3 linked regions of the Arabidopsis thaliana genome follow. The protein of the gene in region 1 interacts with the protein of each later gene in a pairwise test. Each region holds a gene or a part of one and is shown on either strand. Other genes may lie near its edges. The genes, in order: AT3G18570, AT1G78140 and AT3G29270.

What was found.
Region 2: the proteins of AT3G18570 (region 1) and AT1G78140 interact in a two-hybrid assay, tested with the Arabidopsis thaliana proteins (one large-scale study listed by BioGRID).
Region 3: the proteins of AT3G18570 (region 1) and AT3G29270 interact in a two-hybrid assay, tested with the Arabidopsis thaliana proteins (one large-scale study listed by BioGRID).

Annotation. Positions count from the first base shown.
Region 1 is NC_003074.8:6,395,203-6,398,506, reverse strand, and holds AT3G18570 (Oleosin family protein), read left to right. Parts: upstream 1-1,882; 5' UTR 1,883-1,934; coding exon 1,935-2,435; 3' UTR 2,436-2,717; downstream 2,718-3,304. Other genes in the region: AT3G18580 (Nucleic acid-binding, OB-fold-like protein), read left to right, coding at 439-684, 869-1,095, 1,298-1,398, 1,488-1,567.
Region 2 is NC_003070.9:29,401,153-29,405,893, forward strand, and holds AT1G78140 (S-adenosyl-L-methionine-dependent methyltransferases superfamily protein), read right to left. Parts: upstream 2,874-4,741; 5' UTR 2,727-2,873; coding exon 2,553-2,726; intron 2,361-2,552; coding exon 2,251-2,360; intron 2,138-2,250; coding exon 1,994-2,137; intron 1,908-1,993; coding exon 1,826-1,907; intron 1,637-1,825; coding exon 1,440-1,636; intron 1,351-1,439; coding exon 1,239-1,350; intron 1,155-1,238; coding exon 1,047-1,154; intron 926-1,046; coding exon 785-925; 3' UTR 663-784; downstream 1-662. Other genes in the region: UNE2 (Major facilitator superfamily protein), read left to right, coding at 1-146, 233-662; AT1G78150 (N-lysine methyltransferase), read left to right, coding at 3,844-3,966, 4,062-4,135, 4,314-4,500, 4,579-4,741.
Region 3 is NC_003074.8:11,232,531-11,237,042, reverse strand, and holds AT3G29270 (RING/U-box superfamily protein), read right to left. Parts: upstream 2,871-4,512; 5' UTR 2,703-2,870; exon of another isoform or gene 1,806-2,702; 5' UTR 1,718-1,805; coding exon 926-1,717; 3' UTR 585-925; downstream 1-584. Other genes in the region: AT3G29280 (uncharacterized protein), read left to right, coding at 1-179, 271-338.

The sequences.
Region 1 (3,304 bases):
GATATCTCTTTGACTTGGTATTTTAATTTCTTGAATCAAAAAGATATTTTGTCGAAAACAACATGACTTGAAGTTGTAAAGGAATATCAGAATTGTGGGATATTTTTGCTTGTTATTTTGAATTACAAAATTTATGTAGACGATGTGTATTCCAAAAGAATTGTTAAATGCTTATTAACGGATACATAGGACTATGAGTTGTATTTTTGGTGACGACAAAAGCAAATTTCTTCTTCTTATTGACCATTTCAGCATGTGGGTTGAAATTGTCATTTAAGAGAGTTTTGGTAAAAAGTATTAGATTTGAAATAATTGAGGCACTTTATTCCAAAATATTCTAATCACTTTCTCCGCTCTTTAGCCCTTTAGGGTTTATGACGTTAAACCCAGAATCCAACATTTGACGATTCGATTCGAAAATCTCAGTGAAGATCGAAAATGGCGAATTCAATGGCTACACTTTCTAGAAGACTCTATCGATCTCTTCTATCGAACCCTAGAATTTCTCAAGCTTCCATGTCTTTCTGTACCAACAACATCACTTCCCCAGAAGACTCCGACTTTGACGAGTTAGAATCGCCCATTGAACCAAAGGCCTCAGATCCAGTTTCTCGATTTTCCGGAGAAGAACGCGTTATGGAAGAGCGTCCACTCGAAAATGGCCTTGACTCTGGCATTTTCAAGGTATCAAACTTAGATTCTAATTCCAATTGATACATACTCTGTTTTTGTTGTTTTTCTTAAATCGATCGTTGCAATTTTGCCTTTTGTATGATCTTTGTTGAGTCATTTTGTGAACATCATTAGATTCTCGTTCTGGATAGGTTAATAATTAGTGTGTTCTAGACTAATTTCTGGTTTAATACAGGCAATATTGGTGGGGCAAGTGGGTCAGCTTCCTCTGCAGAAGAAGCTTAAGAGTGGTAGAACTGTCACTCTCTTCTCTGTAGGAACTGGTGGGATCAGGAACAACCGGAGACCGCTTATTAACGAAGATCCGAGAGAGTATGCGAGCCGGTCTGCGGTGCAGTGGCACCGTGTCTCTGTTTACCCTGAACGCTTGGCAGATCTTGTGTTGAAGAATGTTGAACCCGGGTTAGTTCTCTTCTGAGATCATATTTAGCTTGTAAGGTTATGTGATGATAGAATAAGGAACAAATGTATGTATCATGTCTGATATCGATCAAGAATCGGTGAAAAAGGATGAAACTTTAGGTGAATCTTGCTTGCTAGATTCAAAATGGTAGCTTGCTTTTGTGTATGTGTCATAACAACTTGTTTCGTGTTCATTCAACAGTACTGTTATCTACTTAGAGGGTAATCTGGAGACGAAGATATTCACTGATCCTGTCACTGGTTTGGTTCGACGTATAAGAGAAGTAGCAATTCGTAGAAACGGTACTAATGGCTCAACCCCTAAAACTCCATTTCTTACATATTTCATTGGGAAACAATTAAATATTGATCTCTGTTTTCTCTCCTTACAGGCCGAGTTGTGTTTTTGGGAAAAGCCGGTGATATGCAGCAACCGAGTTCTGCTGAGCTTAGAGGCGTTGGCTACTACTGATTTTTAACATACAAAAAATTGTTGTCATAAAGGTACACAATTTGCTATTGTAGTATTTCTAGTTTCGCTTCTGTTGTCTCTTCTTGTAACTTGAAGGTTTGGTTTAGTGTTCTTCAATTGGCATTGGCCCTTTTCCATGGTTTTCGGCAAATAAACCCAAACCAAACCCAATCAATACGATTTAGACTAAACCGAATCTAAACCAAAATCTCGATTTTAGACAAAGTGAAAACCAAGACCAATCTCCACGTGTTTACAAACATTGCATGAATGCCACCTCAAAGCTGAATCTGTCCTCCATTTGTTTTACCCTTCCTCATTCTGTTCTCTGTCACACACACACACAAAACAACAATCGCTCTCTACAATGGCGGAAAGGTTCTCTAGCGGCGAGGCCCAATATTGGCCCAATTATGGTAGCACCGCCACCACCACCGTTAGCAACAGCCCCATCTCGTCGTTTTTCCATCAGCTCCGATCCCATTCACCAACATCCTCGCAGCTCTTTGGTTTCCTCGCTCTCTTTATCTCCACTGGCATCCTCCTCTTCCTCCTTGGTGTAAGCGTCACCGCTGCCGTGCTCGGCTTCATTGTCTTTCTTCCATTGATCATCATCTCGAGTCCGATATGGATTCCCGTTTTTGTCGTCGTTGGCGGGTTCTTAACGGTCTCCGGATTTCTTGTCGGAACGGTGGCTTTAGTGTCGTGGACGTACCGCTATTTCCGGGGAATGCACCCGGTTGGATCGAATCAGATGGATTATGCACGTAGTAGGATCTATGACACGGCATCTCACGTCAAAGATTACGCTAGAGAATACGGTGGTTACTTCCATGGCAGGGCTAAAGATGCGGCCCCTGGTGCTTGACCTGAACCGGTTGGTATAGTCTGGTTCAGGGTAGTATTAACCGATCACGGTTCGATTTATGGAGGAGGAACACGGTTCATGGTAATATTACATTTTCTTATTTTGTTTCCGTTTATACTTTATAAGATGAAGAAGAATATCTATCTAGTTATGTGTAATGTAAGCTTTGTGTCCGTCGCTTGAAATGTAATATTTCATTTTGTTTTTAAGTTTTTTTTCTATACATTTTTGGAGAGATACTTATATTATAATCAAATGTCTTCCGTTGTGTTTGAATTCGAAGAAACAATGAGAGTAAATAACTACCATTTTTTTCTATCTTCATTGCTTATTTCAGACGATATGGAAGAGCATGTTACATCCTTTTTGTGTTCTTTTTCTAATAATGAAAATTCCTTATTATAAATAGTCATGTTCAAAGTTTGGAAAAAAAAAATCCAATAAGAACCTTTTACAGTTAAAACCAATGACTTAATAACCCTCTTTATACGTTTTATACTTTTATGAACACGAGAATTGTCTATTTTTGTATTAATTAACACTGGACTGAAATCTAAAGAGAGAATACGGTGTCGGATGCAAACATGTTTATTAGTGAAAAAGGAAAGGATTGTAAAATGTTGGTAAGATTAAAAAATTATGTCCACTGGTAATTGGTTTGACAGGTTGCAAAGATTCCAAACTATTAAGAAAATCTTAATTCGAATGTTTACCGTTTATAGTAGCTAAATTAATGATTCACTGTGGGTTGATGCATGCACTGAGATAATTTATTATTGTAGCAGAACCTACTTTACCCTTTGTAGCTACTAGCTAGTAATCTACTATTACATTGGAAGAACCAGTCATTGAAGATTTAGAAGAGGCAT
Region 2 (4,741 bases), on another chromosome or scaffold:
GCGCAGATTAGTTCAGCCTCAGCGATCCCGCTCGCTGCAATTCTCTTGTTGGTCTTACCAGATGATCCATCTACAGCTGCAATCCATGGTCTGATCTTAGTCCTATTGGGGCTATTTGTTTCTTGGAATGCTCCTGCTACCAACAAGTAAAGTTTCTCTCTTTACTATGCCTAAAGACTTTATATCTCTCTATCGTTTAACTGTTTTTGCTGACCTGGTGAAACAAACGCAGCCCAATCTTCGCAGAGATCGTTCCAGAGAAATCAAGAACAAGCGTCTACGCACTGGACAAATCGTTTGAGTCTATCTTGTCATCGTTTGCACCTCCTATAGTTGGAATCCTGGCACAACATGTTTATGGATACAAGCCAATCCCTGAAGGGTCATCGAGGTCAACAGAGATAGCCACAGATAGAGAGAATGCAGCATCTCTGGCAAAAGCTCTTTATACATCTATAGGACTCCCAATGGCGGCTTGCTGCTTCATATACTCCTTTCTTTACCGTTCCTATCCTCTAGACAGAGATCGTGCTCGGATGGAAGCTTTTATAGATTCTGAGATGCGTGAACTTCTTCCAGAAAGTTCCAATCGAGACATTGAGTTTTCACAAGAAGAAGACCCCTTTGCAAACCATGTTAACCCCAATTTACAAGCTAGATAATAGGAACATTTGCAAAAAGCTTTACAAATTAGGTATACTGTATGGAACTCAAGTTGTTATAATGTTTATAACTTTATACCAATTTTTTACAGAAAAGTATATATACTTTAAAGAGGGTGAGCTTAGCTGGGTTTTGTTGCAGATAGCATTATAAATGGCCCGTTTCTAACACGAGTGAAGTTAACGAGACCACAGGCTTTGCAGATATCTTCAAGCTCACGTTCATTTAGGAAAATGTGAGAACCTGAATATCTCATTATTTCCTACAATATTATGAATGACCAGAATGCATAATCAGCCATAGACCACCTCAGGGAGCAAAAGAGAAGAAAATGCAAGACATGAATGAAAGTTTTAAGGCTTAGAAGTAACTTATACACACACCTGACGAAGATTCTTCAAGAAGGGGATAAAACTGAATGGACCGTCATAGATAAATGTGGTGGCCACAAATACTCCTCCAGGTCTAAGAACACGGCTTATCTCAGCAACCTAGAAGATCCAAGGGAAAATAAACACAATGTATCATTGTATGTGTTGTTTTTGTAAAATGTTGAATTAGGAGAAAAGCTTTACGGCTGAGGATGGTGAAGGCCAGCAATGCAGAGCAGCACCAGCATGGACAGCGTCAACTGAACCCGAAAGGAAAGGGAGTCTAGCAATGTCAGCTCGGACTAGAACAAGTTTCCTGGAAACGAGACAGCAGGAGTAAAAATAACACATCTGGTAACCCAAGATCTAAAGACAATAAAGAAAGCAAAAGGTGAAAGTACAAACTCTTTGTTGGGAAAGTTTTCTTCTTTATTTAAGAGTTCATAGCATTGTCGCAGCATATTCTCTGAGTAATCTAGAGCAATAACCAGAGAAAATAGATCACTTCTAGTGAATAACCTCGAGAACATCCCACTTCCACAACTAGCATCAATGATATTGCCTCCCAAAACAGGCTTCAGATAGGCCTTAGCCATTTCAAACTGTGGAATGCAACTTTATCAGTGTTCTTAAATTTTTGGTTCATGTATTGCTAATCAATGTAAGCTTCATTATGTTAAGTGAAATATACTAAATGGGACAAACAATCAGAAATTTGACGCATTTCCTGAAAGATAATTGCCGCCAAAGAAGAGGCCTTTGAATATTGAGATAGGTTTTTTTTGTCTCACCTCTTTCTCTGGTCCTGGAAAACCTCCCCATATGAAATTCTGACGCCAACCCCTCTCATAGAGAAACGAGACCAGTGGAGTCCTATAAAAAAACAATTCCAAAAAAATCTCAGTTTCCACATAGAAGACAGGACATTGACAAAGAATCCAATGAAGCATATCATCTACCTAAATAACTCAGTGGAAAGAGGCATCGGTTCACTGTATCTCTTGCTTCCACTAGCAACAGCCAAATCAAGATGCGTCTCATTACCCGAGTAACTCCTTTTACATGTATTGCATTGTACTTGAATACCAGAGGCAGCAGATTCTCTGTAAAATACAAAACTTCGATAACTTGCCTCTCAAGAAAATTGGAACATTCACTTATTCTCTCAATCCAATTTCTGAACAAACGATAAAAATTAGTGAAAAGTAAAACTCACATTAATCCATTAGGTTGACTAATCCATGCTAAGGAGTTATAACAGATGGGACAAGCTAGAATCTTCTTCTCTCCTCTGTTCTTATCCTTCTTCTCGATAACAAAATCCACCTGCACACCAATCAAATTGAATCATCTGATATTCGAGATCATCAAGCAAAATCAAATTCACAACAAAGTAGTATCAAATACACGTAAAACTCAAACAAAAAACTAATTATGATTTCTTTCGGGAATATCATGATAACATATACAAGTAGAATCTGTTCCTACAAAAAGTTGGAGAAGAACTAAGGCACGTACATTCGAATTCGAATTTGTCTCAACGGAGACGGAGGCTGAAGAGGCGTGAGCTGATCTGGAAACGAAAACAACCCGTCTTTGAGCGGCGTACTTGACGGAATGCAACCGCGACAAGGAAAAGCAAGTAGGGAGCAACGCCGTTGAGAATCGACCGGAAACAACCGTCATCGGCATTTTTCAGGCTCGCCTCCGTGGCAGCCTATTGAGCACGAAGCTTTATTAAAGGCAAAGAAAGAAATCACACAAAATGCGTGGAAACAAGTTTTAAAATGGTAAAACTTAACAATTTTGGAATTTGTGAAAGAGAAGCCTTTATTATGGTCTTTGATGGATCCTCAAATAAAGGCCCAAACATTGTTCAATATAATTGGTTTGGGTCTAGGTTTTGGGCCTAGTGGTTTCTTCATTTTCTTGTCAACAACAACATAAAGCTTCGAATTAAACGTTTTGGGCTTAGTAGATTACATGTTTTTTAATCTAGATTAACTAATTAATCAAATTACTGTGTATATTCCTGTCTAACCACAATTTATTTGGACGCATGTTCTTTTAAGGATCCGTGTAAAAAACTGCATATCTCCGTGACAATTTGAATTTACTAATTTAGTTTTCGTTACGAAGAATCAGGATTAAAGATTGCGGAAAATAATTAAGTTTAGTTATGAAGGCCTAATTGAGAGGATAAAATCACGGCTTTTGAAATAATTACACTTTTAATCAAATTACATGTTGTATGCTAAATGGCTAATAAAAGGTTGGCATCACGTGATCACACTGCTTAAATAAAACGTTGGTAAAAGTCTTTATTAGTTTTGATGGCTTCACATGGTCTTGTGTCAGAAAAAAAAAGAGAAGAATATGATTGACCATAATTCTATCTAATGCGCTTCAATTATTATTTTTTCCCTAATAACAACTTTTTTTACATTCTAAAATATTAATCCCAATTCCTTACAAGAAGAAAAGTATTCGAATATTCCCGTTAAACGCCAACAAATTATACTACTAATCACAACAATTTTCTGATTAGAAAATCTGATTTTGAATTTAATGATCATGACCACTTGTTAAATCACACGTGGCAGCGTAGAGAAGAAGCTTCCAGATCAAAATGAGATTTACGAACAAAGTAAAGGGTAATAGAGTCAATTAACACAATCGATTAATCTTAAACCAAGTGGGAAGAAGAAGCTGAAAAGAGAGAGACTAATCTTCTTCTTCTTCTTCCTCTCTGTATTTTTCTCATTCTCTTCGATTTGTTTGCTTGCTAGTGACTAGTGAGTGAGAGAGTATGGAGAGAAGTACTCCGGTGAGAAAGCCACACACATCGACCGCAGATCTACTTACTTGGTCGGAAGTTCCACCGCCGGATTCTCCTTCCTCCGCTTCTCGCTCCGCCGTTCGTTCCCACCAGGTACTTGCACCGTTTCGAAATTCATGAAATTTCACTTTGATTTTGATCAATCTGGTAATAGTATTTGTTTCAATTTTGGTTTAATGTGTTTGTAGCCATCGGATGGGATTAGCAAAGTGGTGTTTGGTGGTCAAGTCACCGATGAAGAAGTTGAGAGCTTGAACCGCAGGTTAAACTTACTTCCTTATCACTATTTCATTTCCAATTCGATTTCTTTGAAAATTAGTTTCCAATTTTGTCCATATATCTGAAAGTTGAAAACTTTTTGTGAATTGAATTCATACTCTGTTTATGCCATCAAAAGTTAGATCATAGAGAGTAATCTTCAAGTGTGACTTGTATTTAAGGATTCTTGATGATGCATTTGACAGCTTCATGAGATTGGTTATTTATACTAATGTCAAAACTTGTGAAAATGTTTATGATGTCATTAGGAAGCCTTGCTCAGAACATAAAATGAAGGAGATAACTGGCAGTGGGATCTTTTCTCGTAACGAAAAAGATGATGCGTCAGAGCCATTACCAGTTTATCAGGTACCAGTTTGTGTAGAGAGTGAGACTTGTTCCGTTATGTTATTAGTCATATTACTGAAACTCTTGATTATCTTTCAGCAAGCAGTTAATGGTATAAGCCAGATATCATTTGGTGAAGAGGAAAATCTATCTCCTAAAAAGCCGGCTACTGTACCTGAAGTGGCGAAACAGCGAGAGCTCAGTGGGACTATGGAGAATGAATCAGCTAATAAGCTACAGAAGCAGCTCTCTGATGCTAAAT
Region 3 (4,512 bases), 4.8 Mb from region 1:
TGAATATGACTACTTGTCTTTGGAAAGGTGGGAGGAAGATGTGATAGGATTAGTCGAAGAAAAACACGGGAAGAAGAAAGTATCGGTTTCGTTCGAGTGTGAGACATTGAAGGCAGATGAAGCAGCAGAGGACCATATCAGACAGTTTATGCCCAAATTAGCTGGACTTGATGCTGTTAGTAAGTAAAACCAACACTTTATTCTTGTGCCATTCTCATTACATTTATGTTGTCTTGTTTTGTTGAATCAACACACCGGGGTTTTTGCCAGTTAACATTGGACCGATGAAGATTTCCGGGCTTGATTTTGCTGCGGTGGAAGAGGGACACATAAACTAAGACAGCTTAACTCTTTCTTTTTGTGTATACATCATATTTGAATGCTCTTTGAGTCTTTGTTTCATATCGTAGAACACAATTAACGCTTTAAGCTCAAATGATCTAGACTAGAACTCATAGAAAACATAAAAGAGAAATAACCGAACCGAAACCAAACCGAAAAGCCGTACACCCACCCCTAATTTTGGGTGTCATCTTTTGCTTTCTTCTATGGAAATGGGTGGAACAAACAAACAAAAGAAAAAAAAACCCATACAATTTAGTCATTATATATAAGAAAAATCAATGCATTTAGTTACGCAATTCCTAAATAACATTGCATAAACTTTATATACATAAATCTTATTGAGACACTCAAACACTCACAAACAAATCCACAAATACTAATAAGTTTCTGCAAGAGCCCTTACAACACATACGTCCAGCTTCGTAGAGCAACAATGCAATCCAAAACTACATCCATATATAGATAAAGAAGACGGTAATTACGAAATTGTTATACTTACATGACCGATCTTGGGTCTCAGTTGTTGAAGAAAAGTCGTCAAATTAGGAATGGGAAGTTTCTGAACGCATCCTTAGAAAGTTCATGTGACAATCTCTCGAACAAGCCAGTCGAGACAAGGATAAGCGAAGTAGAGGATGAGAAACGACGGTAGAGCCAGCAAGAGAGTGACTAGAATGTACATCGCCAATATGGCTGCACTGGTCGGTATTGCATAGAGTATTATCAGCAGAAATATGACAACTAATGGGAACTTTGCTGTCAACTGGACAAAGAAAACCAGAGACTTCCTCAGTGAAGTTTGTATGTTGTCCCTTGGAATGCGATGATCATTAACAGAACGTGATGGTTCAGGTTGACTGCGATGATGGCGATTGTGGAGACATGGAGATGGAGTTTCCCTTGTATGATCATTGTTTCCATCTGTTTGAGCTCCACCAGGTGAGTTACGTCTCTCTCCATTCATCCTCTCGACCATCCAAAGCACAAAGTAGTTCTTGTGAGGGAATCTGAGTGTTCCTCTGAAGACCAGACGGAAAGACAAAAGGTTGCACCAGGGGCATGAAATGAAGAGAGGAAGCTGAACCGGGTGAGTAGGCAATTTCACAATAGCCCATTGAAGTCCCAAAATGCAGTTTTTACACATCGTATGTCCACACCATAACACATACGGAACGTTTTCAACTATATTAAATGATTCCCAGCATATAGGACACTCGAGACCTTCGTCTTTACTACCTACAGAAGATACATCGTCATCTGAACACTCCGCATGAGCATGGACCGGTCTTCTGATATCGTTTTTCGGTCCAATGTTTCCCGTAAGATAACTCGATGCTAGATTCCACATTCTAGTATCAGGGATGGATAACATGAATACCTTGTTTGTCACTAAGACCTAACCAGTTCTGCTAATACTTAACTCTCTGACCTTCATGAACACCGAACTCGATGCTTCATCGCTTCATAAGCAAAGAGAAAACACATATTAATCCTTCAAAGACAATCCCAACGACACACCGATGCAATTCCAACTAAGAATCAACTAATAAGATTAAGTGCTACATTGAGCAACCATGGTAACACAAATCATTAAGAACCTACTATACAGCAAGATTCAATTTTTATGATCAGAATCGATATTCGAACGCTTTAACTTGTATTAGAGCTCAAAGCTCGACAATTTCATCGATAAAGGGGACTCTTTTATCTTTGAGCCAAGTTTACTCACCGATGCAATTCTAACTAAGAATCAACTAAGATTAAGTGCTACATTGAGCAACCATGGCAACACAAATGATTAAGCAACTACTATATAGCAAGATTCAATTTTTATGATCAGAATCGATTATTCGAACGCTTTAACTTGTATTAGAGCTCAAAGCTCGATCATTTCAGCGATAAAGGGGACTCTTTTATCTTTGAGCTAAATTTACTCACAGATGCAATTCTATATCAGTAGCAACCAACTAATAAGACCAAGATTTAGTGATACATTAAGCAACCATAGCAACACAAATGATTAAGAAAACCCTAAATAGAAAGTTTCAATTTTTATACTCAGAATCGAAATCAGACTCTCAGACTTGTATTAGACCTAAAGCTCAATCATTTTCAGCAATAAAGATGATTCCTTTATCTCAAAGGTTATGACTTTATCCGATACAGAAGATCCCAATATAAGATTAAAGGAAGAAAGAGAAAACCCTAAAATCAAAATCACTAAATGAGATAATTGATCACAGAATTAAGCAGCTAACGAAGTAATCGAACCTAGATAGATAATTGAAAGGACAGAGCAATCAAATGGTTCACAATAACCGAAACTAAATCAGAGTGATTTAGATAAAGATTCGTACCGATTCGACTCTGCTCTGAGCTTTTTGTTTCGTACGTGAAAGAAGAAGATGCTTGATTCGATTTTTCCGGCGAGACCTAAACTTTCTGGGTTTTGTTTTGCTTTCATAAACGACGTCGTTTCAATCGTGTACCCAAGTTTTCCTTCCAAAAGTGTTTTTGATATTTTCTAACGTAAAAACTTGGTTAGTTGTTTTTTTATAAACATAATAACATTACCAACCAAAACATTTACGCTTATTGAAGATTAAGTAAACCTCTGAAAAAATAAAACACAGAGCGGTTAATTTTATTAATATAATTTAATAGAATTTTGTATTATAAGTTATTTATCAATTCAATTTTTTTAATATTTTAAAAAGAATAATAATAAATATATTAAAAAGAAGAAATATGAGAAAAAGAACAATCACGAAAGAAAAATAATAATAAAAGAAACTTTACGTTGTTTTTTTTTTATCTATATGAGTGTATATAGATAAAATGCAAATGGACTTAATATGTAAATATTTCTTTAATTTTTGCAACATTCTTCTCGTCCAGAGTTCATTTGTCATTTATCTCTTTGCGATATCTTTCATGTTGTCTCGTTAAAACTTTTCTAATAAAATCCATTGGTAGAAACCACAGTAAGGTAAAAAAGTATAATCATACAAGCTCTCCCTCGAATGACTATGGACATGGGGTGCAGGATGTTCGACATTTTTTCTTGTTACCATGTAATAATCATTGAATGCTTGAGACGTAAATTCACCAACGTTATCTAATCTAACTCCTTTGATTGGATAATCAGGAAACTCAGCTCTTAGTTTTGATTATCTGAGTTAGAAATCTCGCAAATACCACATTTCAAGATGATAACAAACAAACATGTGACCATCTACTAGACATGTCTATCATTACCATGAAATAATATAATGGTATACATGGTGGGTGTATAGGTTCACAAATGTCGCATTTGACTCGTTCAAGGAATTTTGGTAATTCTTTATCGATTTTGCTTGTCGATGGCCTTATAATCAATTTTCCAAGAGAAAACGTAACACATGTCCTTTTATTTTCTTGATAAAACTCTTAGGGTTTCATTGAATGTCCATGTGAGCTTTTTATAATTTTTTGCATCATCGTGGTGCCTGGGTGACCAAGGCGATCGTGCCACAATGTGAAATCATCATGATCTCTTTTGATAACAAGATGTGATCCTATTGAATTAATGTATGTATGATGCAATCCTGATGGGAGTCTTGGTAATTTTTCCAAAACGTGTCTTTTTCCCAATTTTTCAGAAGTGATATACATGTACTTTTTTTCATTCTCACTTGCACACTGAGTGTCATATCCATGAAGGTATATATCTTTGAAACTCAACAAATTTCTTTTTGAATTTGGTAAAAATAATGCATTATTTATCGAGAACTTTGTCCCGTTAAGTAATGCAAAATTTGTTTTACCGGTCCATTCAATTAAGTCTATGGGACCTGATATTGTGTTAACAATAACTTTTGTTGATTTCAAATGAGAGAATTTTTTTTTTTGTTTTAGAATAGTGTGTGTTGTTCCACTATTCGGTATGCAAATATCTCTAAGGTTTGCCTTGGATACCATTCCATTTGTAATGTGATCCATTTCTGAAATAAACATAATCGATTAAGGTAAGTAGAAAATAAATTTATTAATCAAGCATATAACACCCGATAATTATACATGATAGGTAACACAAGCACACAATAATTACACATGATAGGTAATACAAACACACAAACTTAGGAAATTTCAAGCAAGCGTCGATTTATTTATGACATATTAATTCGA